Linked DNA regions of Arabidopsis thaliana. The main gene of each other region encodes a partner of the protein of the gene in region 2 in a complex. Each region holds a gene or a part of one and is shown on either strand. Other genes may lie near its edges.

Region 1 (4,559 bases), on a different chromosome or scaffold from region 2:
TTTAGCTTTCAGCCACATTTGGGTCCTCCTTCTGGTTTCTCCTTCGGTTTAGGACAAACCGGTTTGGTTAATCTTTCAATGCCTGGTTTAGCGTATGGTCAAGGGAAAATGCCGGGTTTGCCTCACCCGTATATGACACAACCGGTTGGGATGAGTGAAGCAATGATGCAGAGAGGGATGGAACCAAAGGTTGAACCGGTTTCAGATTCAGGACAATCGGTATATAACCAGATCATGAGTAGATTACCTCAGATTTGAAATTTACTCTTCTTCTTCTTCTTCTGCATTTGGTCACTCCTTATAATAACTTTTAATTTCTGCTTCTTCTTCTTCTTTCATTTATTGGTTTCAAACTTTGGGGAAGGTAAAGGCTGTTTTATTGTTCATTCCTTGGTTTTGTCTTCTTTTTTACTGGTTCTTTATCTTATATTGAAATCAACAAAGAAGAAAAAAGTGAGTGTTGTGTAGCAATACTGCAATTGCTAACTGGAGACTGATGTGGATGTAACTAGAGAGACTGATAGAATCAAACCTTAAAATCTTTTTACTAACAATAGAAACTTGTTCAAGATCAAACAAGAGCTTTGATAGATAAGCAGATGTTCTTATAGATATAGAAACAATGAAGAGGATAAAGTCTTGCCGTCTGAGTTATAGATTCTCACAGAGGCAATGTTAAAAATGGTTTCAGGAACCAAGAGAAGATCTTTAGAACTAGAATCGCTGGAAAGGATCTTTTACATGAATGCAGTTCTTCCACCTCTTCGAGTGTTTCTGTCATATGCGGTGTTGAATTTGTCGACCATCTCGTTCATGTTGCTGCAGATTGAGCAAACAAAATTATTAACTGATATAACAGAATCCACCAGCCCGGTGAAAACCGTATCTTTCACAGTTCCTAAAGAACCACTAGTTAAAGAGCATTCGCTAGCCTATATACTTGCTTTCAAATACTTTAGAATGTTGCATTAGGTACAAACCTGGAACAATTTGTAATCATCGCTAGGTAAGTTATTAGTAATTTGTCGTTGTACTCCTGCAAAAAGAAAAAATGCCAGCATAAGTTGCGAAATATCTCAGACAATAAGCTACACTGAAAAGAATCAAGTGCAGATCTAACTAACTCACCATCAAGAAATTATCTTGAAATCTCTCTGATTCCATGGCAGGCAATCTTCTTAGCAGGCTAGATACTTGTCTCAGAACTGAGTTGTCACAAGATTTATCACCTACACACATAAATGAGTTGGCAGATAAATTATTACACTTACACAACTTTGACTATCTTCAGCTAGAATCCTGGACTGGTAAACATGAAACCACGGTGATAAGAATCGGAACTTGGGAAAGAACAGAATATACCTTTCTGCATTGCAGCAAGATTTTGGTAAAGCACTCTGATTCTGCTATTAAGCATCTTGATGGCACTATGTATACCAGTAAGATGAGCAGCCACTGCATATGAACGAATAATCAGCCAAAAACAGTAAGACTCAGGAAGTGGAGTATGATATGTATTAGTGACATAAGGCTCACACTGGGTTGCTGCTGAGCCTCCGTCAGATGGTTTAAGATGTGCAACATGATCAACTGATATCCGTTCAGCTTCAACTGTCTACATTGTATAACACCTCAAAATCTTAGTCAATGTACACTTTCATAACATAGATTAAATTGCAGAATGTTTGACAAAAAAAAAAAAAATTATTTGCAGAATCAAACTTAAGCACAGACCTCGATTGTGTAGCTTGTATGAGCGAAAATTAGCTGCGGGATTCCATCAATGACATGCAATTCTTCAAGTAATGAAGATCAATCAATGAAACAAAGAGAAAAGTTAGGATCTTGTAAAACAATCTGACCTAAATCTGGAAGTCAATAAAGATAAAGACTTGGGAAGATATCTAGAAACTCTGAACTACGCATATACCTATACTAACATGCTAACATATCAGAATGTACCCACAGAACCATATGACATTATAAGAAGCATACCACTTTCATAAATAGTCACTGGAAGATCCTTCTGTGTGTGATTGATAGCAGGGTTTAAAAGCACATAAACAGGAGATTCATTGATATCCATCAACTGTCACCAAGAGCAGACACAAAAACCACACTTTTAGAGACCAAATCTCAATTATACAAAAATACTAGAGAGAGCATTGGACTCACAGCTTTATGGATATGCATATCAGATTCCTCAGCATCACTTCCCGTAGAGTACCATCCCAGAATATAGAAATCAGGGAACACCTTCTTATCTAATAAACAATAAAACCAGATAAAAGTTCAAACTTTAATTTACGATTGCATCAATAGTTGAGAATAAAAAGAGTGAGCTTTAGCTTACAGAGCTCTTGCTTCTTCTCGAGGAAAGATCTATCAAGGGTTTGAGTAGAAGGATCATATAAAAGCTCGAAACTGTTGAATATCTCAACAGTACGACCTCTCTGGACACCGATCACACATCCGTAAACCCTAGGGTTTTGCTGGAACATTGCTTCGCCGTTGTTTGAGCCATGGCCGCTTGCGCAGATTGAAGCAGGAGGATTGAGCTGAGTTTTGACCCTAGTGTAGTGATCCGATATGTTGACGATTACCAAAGGATGTAGCTTGAAGGTTAAACCGCTTGATGACGAAGGTGCCATTGTCGATCTCTCTCTCCTTTGATGAATTCTTTGGTTTTTGGGTTTTTAGTTTTTTTATGAAGATTTTTTTTATTTAAATCAATGTGGATTCGGATCCTAGATCGGGTCTTCCGGGTCAACTATATGGATATTAGTTTTTTCTGTATGGGCCGAGCGTAGGACTTATATATGCGGTTGGGCCTCATGACTTGTTTTTCCAATTACATTTTTTCATTTTGGAAACTAATTATATTAATTAACAAACGAAAATAAGATAAACCAAACGATTGAGACTCATAAAATCAGATATCTGAAGTTGACAAAAAATGTACTAGAAATTTGAAAACAGACAACATTCATCAAATTTTTCAATATGAAAGTTCAATAGTTCAGTGGTTAGACTAAAGGTTATAATTTTTTCCACAAAATGTTTGATTTCTAGTGTGTAAATTCTTGCAAGTTAATGAAAGGAAAAAAAAATCTAGAGATGCCTAGCATATTGTAACTATTGTTGATGTAGATGAATTTTTTTTTTTTTTTTAGTTATTGATGAAATTAGTGAAGTCATGTTGGTCGTCCAAATGTGTGATATGAGTACAAGAGTAGAATCTACCTTCGTTTGTAACGCATTGCACAATCAATCAAGAAATATAACTAAACCCAGCAAAAATCAAGCAATATAATTTATTTATCTTTGGTATGATCAAGCAAATATAATTCAACACTAATAGGAAACTACAAAATTCAAAAGTGGCAGCAAATCGGACAAAAAGATAAAACATATCTTGATAAAGAAAGATAAAAAAAAACTATATTCACAACAATTCATTTTTAATTACGGATACTGTAAAAAACGGTTTTTTCACAAAAATAAATAACTAAACAAAAATGTGTTGGTGAGCCTAAAAATGTGTGTGGTGTGGATAATATATAAATATTAATTACCAAAATACTATCAAAAAATTTAATAATTTCTTACGAAGCTGTGACCAAACACAACAAACAAAAAAAACACCGCCACGAGACGAGCCAAACTAAAGATTAGGATTTGGGAGGTTGATGATCAATTCCGGACAACGGAGGAAACCATACTGATAGATTCAACGACGGTGATTGCGGCGGAGGAGTAGAAACCCGTTGGAAACATGGCGATGAGAGACCTTGTTAACGGCGGAGCCGCTTGTGCCGTTCCTGGTTCGTCTTCTTCTTCTAATCCTCTCGGAGCTCTCACCAACGCTTTACTTGGTTCGTCTTCCAAAACCCAGGTTAGCTTCCTGATTCCTTTTTGATCGAAACAGTGTTGACATTTGAAGTCTCCTGATTCCATTCTTCGCCTTTTCCTTGGTTCTCCTGGAACTAAGAAGTCGAATTAGATCTCATTTTTCGTTGGGTTTTGTTATTTGCTTGCCAAGTTTCGATTTTTCTTTCCGTAGTGTTAGGGTTTTAGACGTTCTTCGATTATGTCAAGTGATTTGGCTGACAATTGTTTAAAGGTTTAAAATTTCCTGAGAATTTGAAGAAATGTTGATGATTGGTGATTTGTTGTGCAGGAAAGGCTCAAGGAGATACCTAATGCAAACCGGTCAGGTCCTCGGCCACAATTTTACTCTGAAGACCAACAGATAAGGTCACTTCCTGGTTCTGAGTTAGATCAGCCACTTCTGCAACCGGGTGCTCAGGTTAATGTTGTGGAAAGTTTTGGTTTTACAATGGTAGTATTGACTCTGATTATCTAGCCTCTGTGATGGCTGATGGGTTTGCAATTTTTACATTAGGGGTCAGAGTTCTTCCGTGGTTTTCGCTCTGTTGATCAGAATGGTTTGGGTGCAGCTTGGGATGAGGTACAGCAAGGTGGACCTATGCCTCCAATGGGACCTATGTTTGAGCCAGTTCAGCCTACATTTGAAGGTTTGTGATTTGATCTATACC
Region 2 (4,864 bases):
TTGATCATTTGGATCTTCTAGATCCCCAGAAAAGATAGAATGGCTTAAGCTTCGAACTCTCGGACCTTCTTGTTCTACCCAACTATACATTAGACAAGTATTAGGCCGTAAATAGGCCCATTTAGGGATACGCGAAGGCCCAAAAAGTCTTTGACATCATCATGTGGTTTCTTATTCTTGTTTTCCAGTAATGCTGGTTAAGTGAGGATGTCATTATTGATTAAGCCCCACGCAGCTTCTATCAATTACTACTACCTTACTCTTAATCCTACTCAAGTAACTTCACACGTTATCTCTTCCTACCGACTGTTTTCTCGGCCTGATGTTCGTTTAGTAGTCAGTTTGTTCGAATGCAGAAATCTTAATCCGCTTTTAGTACCCTTAAATCGTGGTCTTGTTGTAATGACAATTTCGGTTTTAGAATAGAATTTGTTCGCTTTTAACAAAAGAAATGCTGTTCAAACATAAATGTGAAAAACAACATCCTGATGAATTTCATGTGATGAAGAACAGAAAGAAAAGAGGGCCTAGAATCATTGTTGCTTCAATCGTTGGAGAACATTTGTATGCTTGTGTCAATTTTTTGCACATGGTTCCGTAACAGGCACATGATTACTGTGACATCACGTGTGTATCTGGAATTTGGTTTTTAATACCACTAAATCAAGATAGTCAAACGCAAAAACATAATGATCGATTTATGTTAATGTCATTTAATAACCCAAAGATCTTTGTCTGAAGCAGATACTACACTAGAGATATAGGGAACAATGGGCATTGCCTCATAAACCGGGTCAAACCGATAGTCAATTTCCGCAGCCAAAAAACAAAAGAATAGACCAACTTCACGATGTAATCATGGGCTCTGGATCTGATGAGTCGTCAGCAGACTTCTTGGACTGACGAGCGGAATTGAACAAGATGTCTTTGATAACCTGCACATTGATGGATGAAAGACTTTTTAAGTCAATTTCATGGATCCATTAACCGCAAGGGGAAATAGGATCAGCATTGTCAGATTGTATTTACTCACCTGTGACATTAGTCCATGGACCTGCTCGACAGTTATCTTTGCACTATCCCGAGTTATCTTCGCGAGTTGAGGCTCATCCTGAAAGTGGTCCACAACACATATACTTAGGTAATGTAATCTCCAAAACAAATGTTTTTATGTAAAGAAGATTAAAACAATATCAAAATGAGTCACACAGCCAGAGATAACAGAACTCTAGGAAGCAGACATAGACTATTGGCAACAACTCGTTGACAAATTGATACATCAAAGTCTCCCTGTTTTACTAGTTCAAACTTTAATAGCTCTGTATATTTTTGACTAAACATACACTCAATTGTGAAATTTCAAACCCAGAAAAGGTAAAACATAGTGTTTTGCAGGTAGAGTTTCTATTAGTCAATATCCAGTCAACATAATGCCTAAGAATAAAAAGTTCAAATTTAATCCAAGTTGCTAGATGTTGATAGTAGCAGTTAATTAGCCAAATGAAAAGTTTCTACACAGGAACAAGCTTGAAAAGTGGCAAGTGTATGAGCTCAAGATCATGGTCCAGTATCTCAGACAGTCAATAAACATTGAGAACATAACAAATAATTTTGCTAAAGCAACCATTTAGACAAACCTCTTTCCTCCTTTGGTGACCGGCTGGCGCAATTCCTCCATACCGGGAGTTAGCGAGCTGACTCTCCGCTTGCTCGAGCTTCTCAGCTTCATCATGTAAACAATTAAATGGTAAGAAAAGAGGATATATCAAACTACGACCTGGATGAAAAGTAAATTAACTTGCTCTTTCATATATACAAGAATTTACCCAAGTCTGATATTTGCCCGGCAACATAGTCTCCATTGCCCAACAGTGGGGAAGAAGAAAGAGTGTTCACCCAGTACTTGTTCCAAAGGAGATCCAGAAGGTGACTATCGAGAGATGACTTGAAATAAGTGATGTCCAATGAGTAGTACTGCCACATACAAAAAAAATGAATCATAAGATCGATGATTAAAACCCTCCCAAGTTTTAAAATCGATAAATAAGAATTATACATACCTGTTTGCAATGTACACCAAAGTCCTCAATCTTGTTAAGAGGGATAGTCTGATACTCAGAAACATGATCATCCGAGATCTTATGTCCCTCTGGATATGTTCTGAATGCCCCAATCTCAACCTTACCAGCCGAAACAGTCCTTGTTGGATCAATAACAACAGCTAAGAATGGCTCCTGATACTGTTGGTTAAGCATCTGTGTCGAAACATCAATACCCGAGAGCCAACATCCATACCCAGGGTGAGAGTGATACCATCCAACAACGTTCTCCAACCTCCCAGCCTATAGTTCAAAGTTACAGTCATAACCAATCAATCAAACACTCGCAAAATCTTGCATAAAGGATCCAAGTAGCAACTAGCTAATTAAACAAGGAGCTACAGCGAGAGATGAATAAGAGATATCTTACCAGCTTGCTGGTCTGAGAGTATTCAACCATATACTCATAGGCATCAGACTGAGCATTAACCCTAGTCTCAGTACCTTCAACAGGCAAAGCAAAAGCATCCATAACGATGATTGTATCACCCTCGGTTTTACCCTGCATAAGACCCATGATCTCGATTGTGCCACCGGAGCGAGCGTGAACCACCATCTTGAGAAGAGCAAGGGCTGAGATGTGAACGCGCTTGAAGTAGTTAGGATCGGAGGCCCATGGCTTCTCCTGCTGGATTTTGGCTTGTGAAGCGTCGTCGTAGTGGAATATACTGTCGGAGGCTGAATCGGTTGGTTCCACTGGGAGAATGTTGTTCTCTAGCTCCCATGTCTTCCTCGCGATGGCTGACGAGGAACCTTCCATTGAAATCGACTTCGAAGAGTAGAATAAATCTAGGGTTTTGCTTAATCGCGAGAATTGATTTGAGGGTTTGAGTCAGAAAGAAAGAAGAAGGCAAACAAATAGAGAGAGATCTTTGGGTTCTTGGGTTAAACCGGTTTGCGAGAACAAAACTCAAAATGGATTTACTTAATATGGGATTTGGGGACTAATGCTAATCCAAAACATTAACCATATAAAATTTTTATGGAAATTTAATATTGTACATTTTTTATTAAATATTTTTCCCTTTTTATTTTTAGTTTGTTTAACTTTTATAGAAATCAATGTTGGCAAATCAAAGGATAAATTCCAGTCATTGTATCAACCAATTGGTATAGAAATCAATGTTGGCAACACATAGATTTGGCATACAATATCTTAAATCACAAAGCGTAAAAGAAGAGTAATGCATCTCATGCATATTTCTTGAGATATCCACACATGCATAATTTCACCAATGTAGTAAGCTTATTTTGATAGCATGTTCAACTTATATATTGTGTGAATTATGCTTGACTTTATGGCATAGACGTTGATCTTTAGCTATAAAGTCAAGCTTTTGTCTTCTCATTCTATCATCGATCAAAGCATCTAAATCACTTTCCTCTCTTTTCTTCTCTTGTTTGTGTCAGAACTCAGAGAGTATAACATAAGGTTAGCTTTCGATCAGTTTTTTATTTTGAGTGTTGCGAATCAAAAGAAAAATTAGTTTTAGCATTAGACCTAAATATTTGTACAAGGACACAGTGTAATATTTGTAAAGCAATTAACATAGAACAAATAATGAAACACAACAATACTATAAAGATGTTTTGAGTTAAGGAGAGAGATCATCAAAGTGCTTGCTTAAATTTCTACCGTGTTGTTGTGTTTCATTACTTGCTTAAATGCTTAATGATAACTGCTTTAAAAATATTAGATTGTCTTCATGTACCAACATTCAGGTCCTACATCCAAAATATTATACAAGACAAAGAATTCACTACAATATAAATACGCTAAAATTTAAGAGCAGCCTCAATTATATGCATATACTAAGATTATGGCCGCCCCTGCTATGCTGATACAAAATAAATGCCAAATTACATCATATATCAAAATATTTTGGCAAAATAAAACATAATTGCCTTTAGTTGGATTTTGAAAAAAAAAATGGAAGATCTTCTGAGTTTGTGAGAAAGAAGAGCAATAAAGAAGAAGTTAATGCATCTGTTTGACTGTTACAATTACTTATAAAAAAAAAAGTGGAAGAAAGTTTAGAGGAGAGGATACATTTTGAGATCATGGGGAAGGAGTGGTTGCTAACAAAGTGGTAATAGAATTAGATTACGTGAAAGTATAAAAGTAAAATTTGAAAGTTTTGTGACATGTGGTAAATGTTGCTGTTTTTGAAAGTGTTGTCCCATTTGAAAGTTTTGTCACATTCGGTAAAATTTGAAAGTTTTGTTACATGCAGTTTTGAAAGTTTTGTCACATTCGGTAAAATTTGAAAGTTTTGTTACATGCAGTTTTTGTTAAAATGACGGTTAATTTAGAGGGGGGTGGGAGGGGGAGGGTAAGTAGTTATATGATTTTGATGATTTTGTAGAAGTGTATTCAATCTAGTATTTTAAGTGATTTGTGTAAAATTTATCAATCATGGATTTTAAAAACTCTATTAAAATCAAGTGTTATTGAACTAACGATTTTAAAATTTACTTTTAAATCAACTGTTATTGAAAACAAATCTCATGATTGTAGATGGAATTTGAAAAGATTGTACAATTAATCACATCAACTTTCTTAAAATTATAGAAATCTTTTCAAATTCTATCTAAAACCATGAGATTTGAATTTGTGTATTTGTAACTAAAGAAGTTTTCTCAAATCTTTCAAGATGAATAAGAATCAACTCCACAAACTGTTTTCAATAACAATTGATTTTAAAGTTAATTTTTAAATTATTAGTTTAATAACATTGGATTTCATTAAAGTTTTTAAAATCTAT
Region 3 (4,990 bases), on a different chromosome or scaffold from region 2:
TATGTTTTCAGGAGCTACTATAAATGCACAGCTAATGGATGTACCGTAACGAAGCATGTAGAGAGAGCCTCTGATGACTTCAAGAGCGTACTAACAACTTATATAGGCAAGCACACCCACGTTGTACCAGCAGCACGCAACAGCAGCCACGTCGGTGCAGGCAGTTCAGGGACTCTCCAAGGCAGTTTAGCGACTCAGACCCACAACCACAATGTGCACTATCCAATGCCACACAGTAGATCTGAGGGACTGGCCACAGCCAACTCATCTCTATTTGACTTCCAGTCACACCTGAGGCATCCTACAGGTTTCTCCGTTTACATAGGCCAATCTGAGCTTTCTGATCTTTCAATGCCTGGTCTAACTATTGGGCAAGAGAAGCTTACCAGCCTGCAGGCGCCTGACATTGGGGATCCAACTGGCCTAATGTTGCAGTTAGCAGCACAGCCGAAGGTGGAACCAGTGTCACCACAACAGGGACTTGATTTGTCAGCGAGCTCATTGATATGCAGAGAGATGTTGAGTAGATTACGACAGATATGAAACAAATCTCTTTGTTCACTGATTGCTCAAATTTTTGAATAAATGAAAAATTGAGAGAAGGTAAAAGCTGTTTTGTTTTTACAGTCTTGTCGCAAAATTTAGTTAGGCCTAAACTTAGCTTCTGTCTAGACAAAGCTTAAACAGAAGAAAAGCTTCCTAGCTGTTTGTTTGGTTCCGAAAAGTGAAATGCCTTAAAAGAGTTCTAAATTTTCACTTAGGGACCAGACCACCAAAAGAAAGAAAAGGTTTTTTTACATTGAAACTAATCTTTACATGAACGCAGTCCTACCACCTCTTCGGCTGTGTTTGTCGTATGCAGTGTTGAATTTGTCAACCACCTCGTTCATGTTGCTGCATTTTGGGGGGAAAAAGGAGAGTAAGAGATCAAATATACAAAGGATTCTTTCAGGACATTTCGTTGGAATGAAATTGACATATGGATTGGTCAAGGTGTAGCACAAGATTAGATTTTTTTTTTAAAAAGAAGCTTATATTCCCTTAGCTACTACAGGCTCAGTATCTTAATTATAACAAGGATAATTGAGCAAGGTCCTAGATTTAGTTCTTAATCTAAATAAAACAAACTATCTCAATGTCAGCCTCAACCAAGTACTGGTGATTTCATCTGTCTTGGTATCGTAAAACATTGCATTGTATCAAGCAAAAGATTTGCATGCATGTCCATCATTCTTTTATTCAAATAGTTAAATGGAATAGCGTGTCGAGCACATACCTGGTACAATTCGTGATCATTGCTAGGTAAGACATCAGCAATTTGTCGTTGTACTCCTGCAAAAGAAGAGAACATCATATTTATAAAGATATCATTCACAACAACAAGCTACATTAAGAATTTAAGAGATTCGAAGGCCACTTTATTTAACCAACATTGCTAGAAAAAGGTAAGGTACTACTTACCATCAAGAAATTTTCATTGAACTTCTCTGATTCTGCGGCAGGCAAACTTCTGAGCAGACTAGATACTTGTCTCAGAACTGAGTTCTCACAAGGTTTATCACCTAGATGCAGAATCACATAAGTCATTAGTACCACATTACTCTTGCTCAAAATCATCTTCTAACACCCTTTTAATTCTTTCTTCCCCGTAGGAAAACACATAGAAATATTCTAAGATCAAGGGACAGGTCACAAAAGCTTGATTAACAAATTGAAGAGGGACCGAGAGTGGGGACTTGAGCAAGAATATACCTTTCTGCATAGCGACAATATGCTGGTATAGCACTCTGATTCTGCTATTAAGCATCTTGATGGCACTATGTATTCCAGTAAGATGAGCAGCCACTGCACAAAATCGAGGAATCAACCTAAAATTCCATGCAGATGAAAAAGAAAGAACAGATTATGATAAATATGAAGTGATAATAAAGCTTACACTGAGTCGCAGCTGAGCCTCCATCAGATGGCTTAAGATGTGCAACATGATCAACAGATATTCTTTCAGCTTCAACTGTCTGCACGCGTTTACAATCATTGCAATGTTATTGAAAGTCCACTCTCATATCACATAGATAGATTACAGATCAAGTGGCCTAAACACATACCTCAATTGTGTAGCTGGTATGCACGAAAATCGACTGAGGAATTCCATCAATGACATGAAATTCTTCAAATTTTGAAAACAATCAAAAAGACAGGATTAGCAAGATTATAATCTATAAAACAATAAGACAATCAGTGATGCAAATAACCAATTTTTACCGCTTTCGTAGATAGTCACAGGAAGATCCTTCTGTGCATGATTGATAGCAGGATTTAAAAGAACATACACAGGAGATTCATTAATGTCCATCAGCTGTAGATGAAAACCTCAACAAATCAGTACAATGAGAATCCTAAATTCAATTAAATTTATATTAAACATTAAAGCTACACTACTCACAGCTTTGTGGATATGCATATCAGATTCGGTAGCGTCACTTCCCGTAGAATACCATCCCAATACGTAGAAGTCAGGGAACACCTTCTTATCTAAAAAATAACAAAACTCACAAATTAGCAAGAGTATCAAACAATCGACAACAAAAGTGAGCGAGTGTAAGTAAACTTACAGAGTTCTTGCTTCTTCTCGAGGAAGGATCTGTCGAGAGTATCAAGAGCAGGATCGAATATCAGCTCGAAACTGTTGAAGATCTCAACCGTACGACCTCTCTGGAGACCGATGACGCAGCCATAAACCCTAGGGTTTTGCAGTAACATCGCGTCGGCGTTGTTGGAGCCATTCCCGGTGGCGCAAGAAGCGGCGGGAGGATTAAGCTGAGTTTTAACCCTAGTGAAGTGATCGGATATGTTAAGCATCACCAGAGGATGTAGCTTGAACGTGAGACCGCTCGACGAAGAAGGCGCCATTGTTGTCGCTCTCGATTTTTTCCCGGCGCTTGTCGTTGTCCTCCTTTAGTCCCAAATTCTGAAATCGGATCTTAAACTCGGGTCATGAATCTTTATATAGTCTTGGCCTCTTGGGCTTTCCTTCTAAGTTTAGCCCATATATAACTTTCTTTTGTTAGAAAAATAATGGAAAAGATTATAGCATGTACTTAATTTTTTAGCGTTTTAGTATATATTTATAATTTGAATATAAATCTTTGAAAGAAATATCTATTTTTTTAATATGAAATTTCTTGTATTTTAATGAATTTGAAAAATAATTATGATTGGATTTTGAATCATTTACTTCTTTTTTTTTGGTTTGAGTATATAGAAATAACATAAAGATCATAATGAATTAATTTTATTTAATATTATTGGATATGTTTGTAAGTGTTACTATTAAAATTTTATTATGTGTGTAGTCTGTTTTAATTCTTCTTTTCGTAATATATATATATATATATATATATATTGATATTTTAAACTATTTTTAGTTTATATAACATATCTTTAAATATGTTTCCTATGTTGTAAGTAGTACCTATCAATATTTTACAGAATATTACAGTTTTGTATTCTGAATGCAATCTTTTAAATTAAATTTCATTTAAATTTCATAAAAATAGTTAAGGCTACATTTAAATCTGTATTATTGTTATTTCATTAATTAAAAATATAACTGTATATAGTTTATGAGAAATCCCACATTAAAAGTGGAAATAGAATATGAGTAATATACAGTATATAAACCAAATCTACTCATAAACAATTAGTTTTGAGTTTGGAACCATAAAACTTAATATAGTAAATTGATAAATATGTTATTTTAGATTCTATATATACCATATATAACTCCTAGTCTCCTATGATATATCTGTCATTACATCGTAAATTGCTTATCACTAGCCAGTAGCCACCAGCCGCAGCCTCTGCACCCTTACTCATATCATTAACACATTGCTGGCTTGCAAGGTACAATCTTTAGTTATGTCATTCAAGTCTTCATATTACGGTAGATTTTTCCAACCGTATTGTTCAAACAATTGTATCCGACAATATAATCATGCATGGGATCTCGTCAAACTCTAACGACATGCTTTTTGACTTATGATAACTTTTTTTCTTTTCTTCAGTCAATCTTATCAAGTCATCGTCTACGCTTTTTTCCACCATCGCCTTCACTTTGAAGAAGCGTGAGTGTAGGTAGTGCTATATACTTGTGGGAAATTTGGGAATATGCTCATTTACATTTTTACATGTATAGACATAAATCTTTAGGTTGGATATGTGACATATTATTTATGATTCTTTTTTCAATTTATATAAACTAGTAGACCACGATTTAGTTTTCTCACTGATTAGCAAATGATGGATTTGGTCCGTATTGAAAATAAAAGACATATATATATATATATGTGTGTTCCGTTTTCCTGAAATCAACTGCAAAAAGTTTTCAACAAACGATTAAGAAAAATGAAAGTGACACATTAACACGTTAGATAATGCATTAACAAAATATTCTTTCTTTTCTTTTTTCTTCATTCTTTTTACCTTCGTTTATAGGAGGGAAGAAAATGAACCAGAATTTTGTTGATATTGAAAAACCAATCCGAATAAAGAATCTACGAAATGACACTATACTAAACTCGTTCTATGGTAGAATGTCTTTGCACCCGATAGCAAAAGTTATTGTAGAAAACTATTTTATACCTAAACAATTCACAAACCTCGGAGAAATGATATTGTTGTATATTTAGAAATGTATATCAAAAGAAGAAAATAGTCTTTAGTGGACACTGACAGACAACGACTAGTTTTATATGTAACCATCAGTTCATCTTTCTAGATAAAACCAATGTTAAACGCAACTGCTAATCTCTTCTTCTTTTCTTTTGTCAACCACCAAGGCACCAACTGCTAATCTCTTTAGACTCTAGAGATAGCGAAATATCTTCATTATTTCATAATATACATAACAATTTTATTAATCCTTAATTCAAAATTGCTTGGAAAACACTGATGAAATTAAGCATCTACTAACAGAAAGTTTTGTAAATTT
Region 4 (4,170 bases), on a different chromosome or scaffold from region 2:
AATTTGTATTAATCTTTTGAAGAGTTTATTTCTAATATTTCTACAGTATCAATTTTTTTTTCTTTTTGTTTTCTAGACTTAATAATTATTTACTTTTTATATTTTTCATTATTTTTAAAAGGATGTTGATTATAACTACAAAAACTGCTTTTCACATAAACCAGTTTTAAAAATTATAAAAGAATAGTAAAATCTCTCAATAAATTTAAAATTGTTCATTTATCGATAATTTAATAATAAATTAAGAATTATTAATCTCTGATAACCCCAGCTTGTCATCTACTAGATCGACAAATGGCTCCTATTCTTCTAGAGTACCTCTCCGGTTTGAAGATTATCATCTTTTATCTCAGAGATTGGCTAGCTTGTTATAGTCGCTAAAATGATCTTCTCTTGTTTCTGCCTAATTTTGTTCTGAAAACGTGTGTTATTTAGGCTGTGTCCTTTTTGGCTCATAATATTGACTTCATCTTTTGTTTGTTTCAGTTCGTCTTTTGTGTAAACTGATCTTTTAAATGTTTGTTTTAGTTCGCCTGTTGGTGTAAACTGATCTTATAAGAGTAAAATTGGTAGGAGTTATTCATCATATACTCAAAGAGTCAAGATATGTTGCAACTTAGAATCAGTCATTGTGAAATCTCTCAAAAACGAATTCTGTTCTTAGAATTTCACTATCTTAATAGGAGATCGGCACTTAGTTTTAATGTTCAAGGTGGAACACATACTCCGTCAAGCGTTGTAGCTTCGATGAATCCACCTTTTGCTCTCTTTTAACAGCTTGTTTCTTCACACTCGCCATTTGAGAAGCTGCATCCACTGTCCATCCATTCTCTACAACATCTGTGTATATATCCAGCAATAAAGAAAACAATTATACTGTTAATTCTGATTCCGTAACATATATGGTTGTCATAAGATTCATGCCTACAATAACACTAAGCTAAGACATTGCCACAAACTCTTCGACATTTTTCAAAAGTATCAATATAAGAATCAATTCAGTAGAATTCAATAGAAATGTGAAATGAGGTACTTAATCTTTTGTAAGCAAAGGAAATTGCAGAAAGAAGCTTACAAGTTGTGGCATCATCCTCCGTCATCCCTAGGAAAAGAGCTAAATCATGGATGGTAATTGTGGAGTAGGCAGACAACAAAAGCTGAAACATCCTTTTTGTGTAAAGATCTACAACAAAACCAATTCAGAAATAGAATTAGAATCTGATGGAAAGTGACCCATAAAGGTCAGGTGTTGAACAATTGATGTGGAAAAAGGTACAACTTCACAAAATTCAGATCAACGTTTAGACATTTGGTTGGAAAAGTCTGTCAACTGCTTACTCGTTCCTCCTGTGTGAGTCTACCTACCTCTCTCTCAGTTAGACCACAGAAGCAACTACTTTCTAATGAAGAAGTGATAAGGCACATACATTGATGAAATTTGATTCAAATTCGAGTTCCAATAGTTCAATGATAAGATGAAAGGTGGTTCTGTGCATAACAGAAATCCTAAACTAGGCCTCACAAGTTAAAACAATAAAACAACTATTCGATCTCAATATGTATATCAAAGCTCAAAACCTAAAGAGGGATATGAAGTAATAAAAGTACACAACTACATAAGCAATCAACAAGCTTAGTTCAAGAAACCAATTCATACTAGCTAAGAAGTCATAAACAGAGAAAAAATTTACCTGAGAAGGCAGCAACCATATCTTTAGCTTCTTGACTCCAATCATAACCCCGAATAGCTTCATATACACCTGCATAGTCGTGTGTCCACAGCTTCTGACCAATCCCCCAAGCTGCAACAACTTCAGGCTTCCTCTCCTTGATAGCTGTAGGTATCCTTTTCCAGAGGAAACGTGCGCTATCACTGCAGTATTTCCAAACAAGCACAGCAAAACATCAAAACCAAATCCATAGTCAAGAAGGCACAACCATAACTCAATAGTTTCAACATACTACACTCACTATCAATACACAAAGGAAAAAAATGTTAAATGGGTCTCAACAACTACTAACTTGTGTCAAGTTTTAATTTTTCAAATCACTGGATAGAAACAAGGTAATGTAAAAAGCAGACTTTAGACCTTAGATTCAACCTAGGACCTAGCAATCGAAGTAGTAAGAACAACTTTGACGCGCTAAAATTCACAAGAGTTCAACGAAACAATCTCTAATTTCATAAAGGAACTAACTTTAGGTTCACAACGCAAACAAATACATCAAAGAAGAAAATAAACTCACCAATCGTCAACGTAAAAGTAACCCAGAAGATGGATTGCGTAAGGCCAATCATCATGATATTCAATTCCTTCGGAAGCAACCTATAAAAAAAATTAAGAAGCGATAAATCGAACGATTAACACCACAAAATCCACTTCACAAAACCCTAATGAACATCAGAAACAACGACAGCGAGAGAAATTACGAACCTGAAGCATGAGAGTATCGCAGATATCGGCGATTTTGTCAAAGGATTTGGCGGCCAAAGCTTCCTTAACAGGCGAAAGATCCATGACTTGTTTCGATTGCACTACTCTCGAAGCTTTTGCGAAGATGACAATTCTACTCCCAAAACCACTCCAGGGAAAAGAAAAATAAATTCTGTGAGATTTACAGGTTTTAATAATCTTTTCAATACGGTTTACTTAAACCGACCAAAAAATTGACCAAACACAAGAGGATAAATGGGCCAAGCCCACTAAGCCTTAGTTTCCCGCCAAACATCATAAAGCCACCCGGTCTGTTCCCGCCAAAATAACAAACAGTCTCTCTCACTCTCACACACACTCTCTCTCTCTCTCTGTAGCTCTCTCTTGGCGCGAGTTCTACCATGGCCGAATCAGATCCTATATTGAGGAAGAAGATGCGATTTTCGTCTTCTTCAGTTCGTTATACTACCTCTCAGAACCTTATGGCAAGCAAATTACGAACTCAGAGCAATCGTTCCTCCGTTCGATTTGCATCCCCATTGTCTCACATTGTCACGGATCTTCGTCACCATCATGCGTCACCGATCAAAGGGAAAATTGTTACTCAAATGCCCCGAACTTGTTCTCGTGTCACCGTGAAGAATCTGTGTCTCAGACGCGTATTCTCTCCTAGTTCCATCTCTAGTGATTGGGACTTTCATGTGAAAGGGGGAAATCTAACCAAGGAGCTAAATGTGGAATCTCCTTGCGATACTCCGAATTCTAATGGTAATTCTTATTTTAAGGTCTTTTTCTTGTACAAGTTTTTCTAAGAAAATTTAGGAGAATGTTGATATAATGAAGGTGGAATTAGGAAATTTCAATATCTGTTTAGAAACTATAATGATTACACAATGGTGAAAACAGTTATGAGAGAAGGAAGCAAATATCTTGTTGATGGATTAGTGGCTACTGGAGGTGATTTAGAAGTAGTGGAATGCTCACAAACGACGCCACCGGATTTAGGAATGTTCACCGGTGAGCTTTCTTTGGTGAAAAATGAAGCAGGTTCTATCAATCAAGAGATCAGTGAGGTCTCTGGGAAGAAAGTTGGTACCAATCTCGGCAGCAAAGTGGTATGTTTTTTACTCATGGTTTTATAGCAAATGATGCGTTTAAACTACAATATTGGCTTTTCGTTGGTTGCTTAATTTTCTTCTTGTGATATGTATACAGATTCGTCATCCGGAAAAGATTTTCAAGAACCCTGGCTCTGTGAGCTATAGAAGAATGCTTCCTTACTTGATGGAAGCTGCAGATGTTACCCGAGATGGTGATGCAAAAGATCCTAAGGATGAAAGAGGTGAATTGATGGCAGCAAATTACCGACTTCCTGAAACCGTATCTGCCAATAGCTTTGTTAAAGCTCATGGAAACAATAGCCCTTTCAAGAAGATGACTTCATCCAGTGGCAACAAAATTTCTGTATGATCTGTTTTTTTTTAAGAAGCTGCAGTCTTGTTCCTTATTTAAGAATCTGTTTTTGACATTTTCCCTGTTGTGACATGAAACAGCTGTGCTGCCGGCGCAAGCTATTTAAAGTGCCAGGTTCTGTAAATTACAGAAGAATGCTTTCATATCTCAAAGAGAACTCAGAGGATAATCATGGTTAGTCTCTTTATATTCATGTTTAGCACACGGTATAATTCAATGTCAGTACTAGTCAGATAATAATACTGTCTTCTGTGGCTTGGTA

The links.
Region 1: CSN5A (region 2) and CSN6A share a complex: the UniProt entries of both Arabidopsis thaliana proteins name them as parts of the CSN complex.
Region 3: CSN5A (region 2) and CSN6B share a complex: the UniProt entries of both Arabidopsis thaliana proteins name them as parts of the CSN complex.
Region 4: CSN5A (region 2) and COP9 share a complex: the UniProt entries of both Arabidopsis thaliana proteins name them as parts of the CSN complex.

The regions. Positions count from the first base shown.
Region 1 is NC_003076.8:22,782,880-22,787,438, forward strand, and holds CSN6A (COP9 signalosome subunit 6A), read right to left. Parts: upstream 2,727-4,559; 5' UTR 2,652-2,726; coding exon 2,354-2,651; intron 2,265-2,353; coding exon 2,176-2,264; intron 2,090-2,175; coding exon 1,996-2,089; intron 1,797-1,995; coding exon 1,735-1,796; intron 1,616-1,734; coding exon 1,537-1,615; intron 1,456-1,536; coding exon 1,363-1,455; intron 1,230-1,362; coding exon 1,129-1,229; intron 1,037-1,128; coding exon 981-1,036; intron 820-980; coding exon 738-819; 3' UTR 505-737; downstream 1-504. Other genes in the region: WRKY2 (WRKY DNA-binding protein 2), read left to right, coding at 1-258; PEX5 (peroxin 5), read left to right, coding at 3,776-3,895, 4,181-4,309, 4,406-4,538. UniProt on the Arabidopsis thaliana protein: Component of the COP9 signalosome complex (CSN), a complex involved in various cellular and developmental processes such as photomorphogenesis and auxin and jasmonate responses.
Region 2 is NC_003070.9:8,109,037-8,113,900, forward strand, and holds CSN5A (COP9 signalosome 5A), read right to left. Parts: upstream 3,026-4,864; 5' UTR 2,860-3,025; coding exon 2,470-2,859; intron 2,343-2,469; coding exon 2,061-2,342; intron 1,975-2,060; coding exon 1,827-1,974; intron 1,724-1,826; coding exon 1,638-1,723; intron 1,112-1,637; coding exon 1,034-1,111; coding exon of another isoform or gene 962-1,033; exon of another isoform or gene 936-961; coding exon 846-935; 3' UTR 538-845; downstream 1-537. UniProt on the Arabidopsis thaliana protein: Probable protease subunit of the COP9 signalosome complex (CSN), a complex involved in various cellular and developmental processes such as photomorphogenesis and auxin and jasmonate responses.
Region 3 is NC_003075.7:13,353,149-13,358,138, reverse strand, and holds CSN6B (COP9 signalosome subunit 6B), read right to left. Parts: upstream 3,148-4,990; 5' UTR 2,911-3,147; coding exon 2,613-2,910; intron 2,533-2,612; coding exon 2,444-2,532; intron 2,357-2,443; coding exon 2,263-2,356; intron 2,168-2,262; coding exon 2,106-2,167; intron 2,016-2,105; coding exon 1,937-2,015; intron 1,846-1,936; coding exon 1,753-1,845; intron 1,563-1,752; coding exon 1,462-1,562; intron 1,333-1,461; coding exon 1,277-1,332; intron 895-1,276; coding exon 813-894; 3' UTR 544-812; downstream 1-543. Other genes in the region: WRKY34 (WRKY DNA-binding protein 34), read left to right, coding at 12-543. UniProt on the Arabidopsis thaliana protein: Component of the COP9 signalosome complex (CSN), a complex involved in various cellular and developmental processes such as photomorphogenesis and auxin and jasmonate responses.
Region 4 is NC_003075.7:8,132,349-8,136,518, forward strand, and holds COP9 (COP9 signalosome, subunit CSN8), read right to left. Parts: upstream 2,641-4,170; 5' UTR 2,520-2,640; coding exon 2,436-2,519; intron 2,328-2,435; coding exon 2,248-2,327; intron 1,874-2,247; coding exon 1,692-1,873; intron 1,184-1,691; coding exon 1,076-1,183; intron 841-1,075; coding exon 701-840; 3' UTR 532-700; downstream 1-531. Other genes in the region: AT4G14120 (uncharacterized protein), read left to right, coding at 2,837-3,203, 3,342-3,550, 3,651-3,899, 3,989-4,082. UniProt on the Arabidopsis thaliana protein: Component of the COP9 signalosome complex (CSN), a complex involved in various cellular and developmental processes such as photomorphogenesis and auxin and jasmonate responses.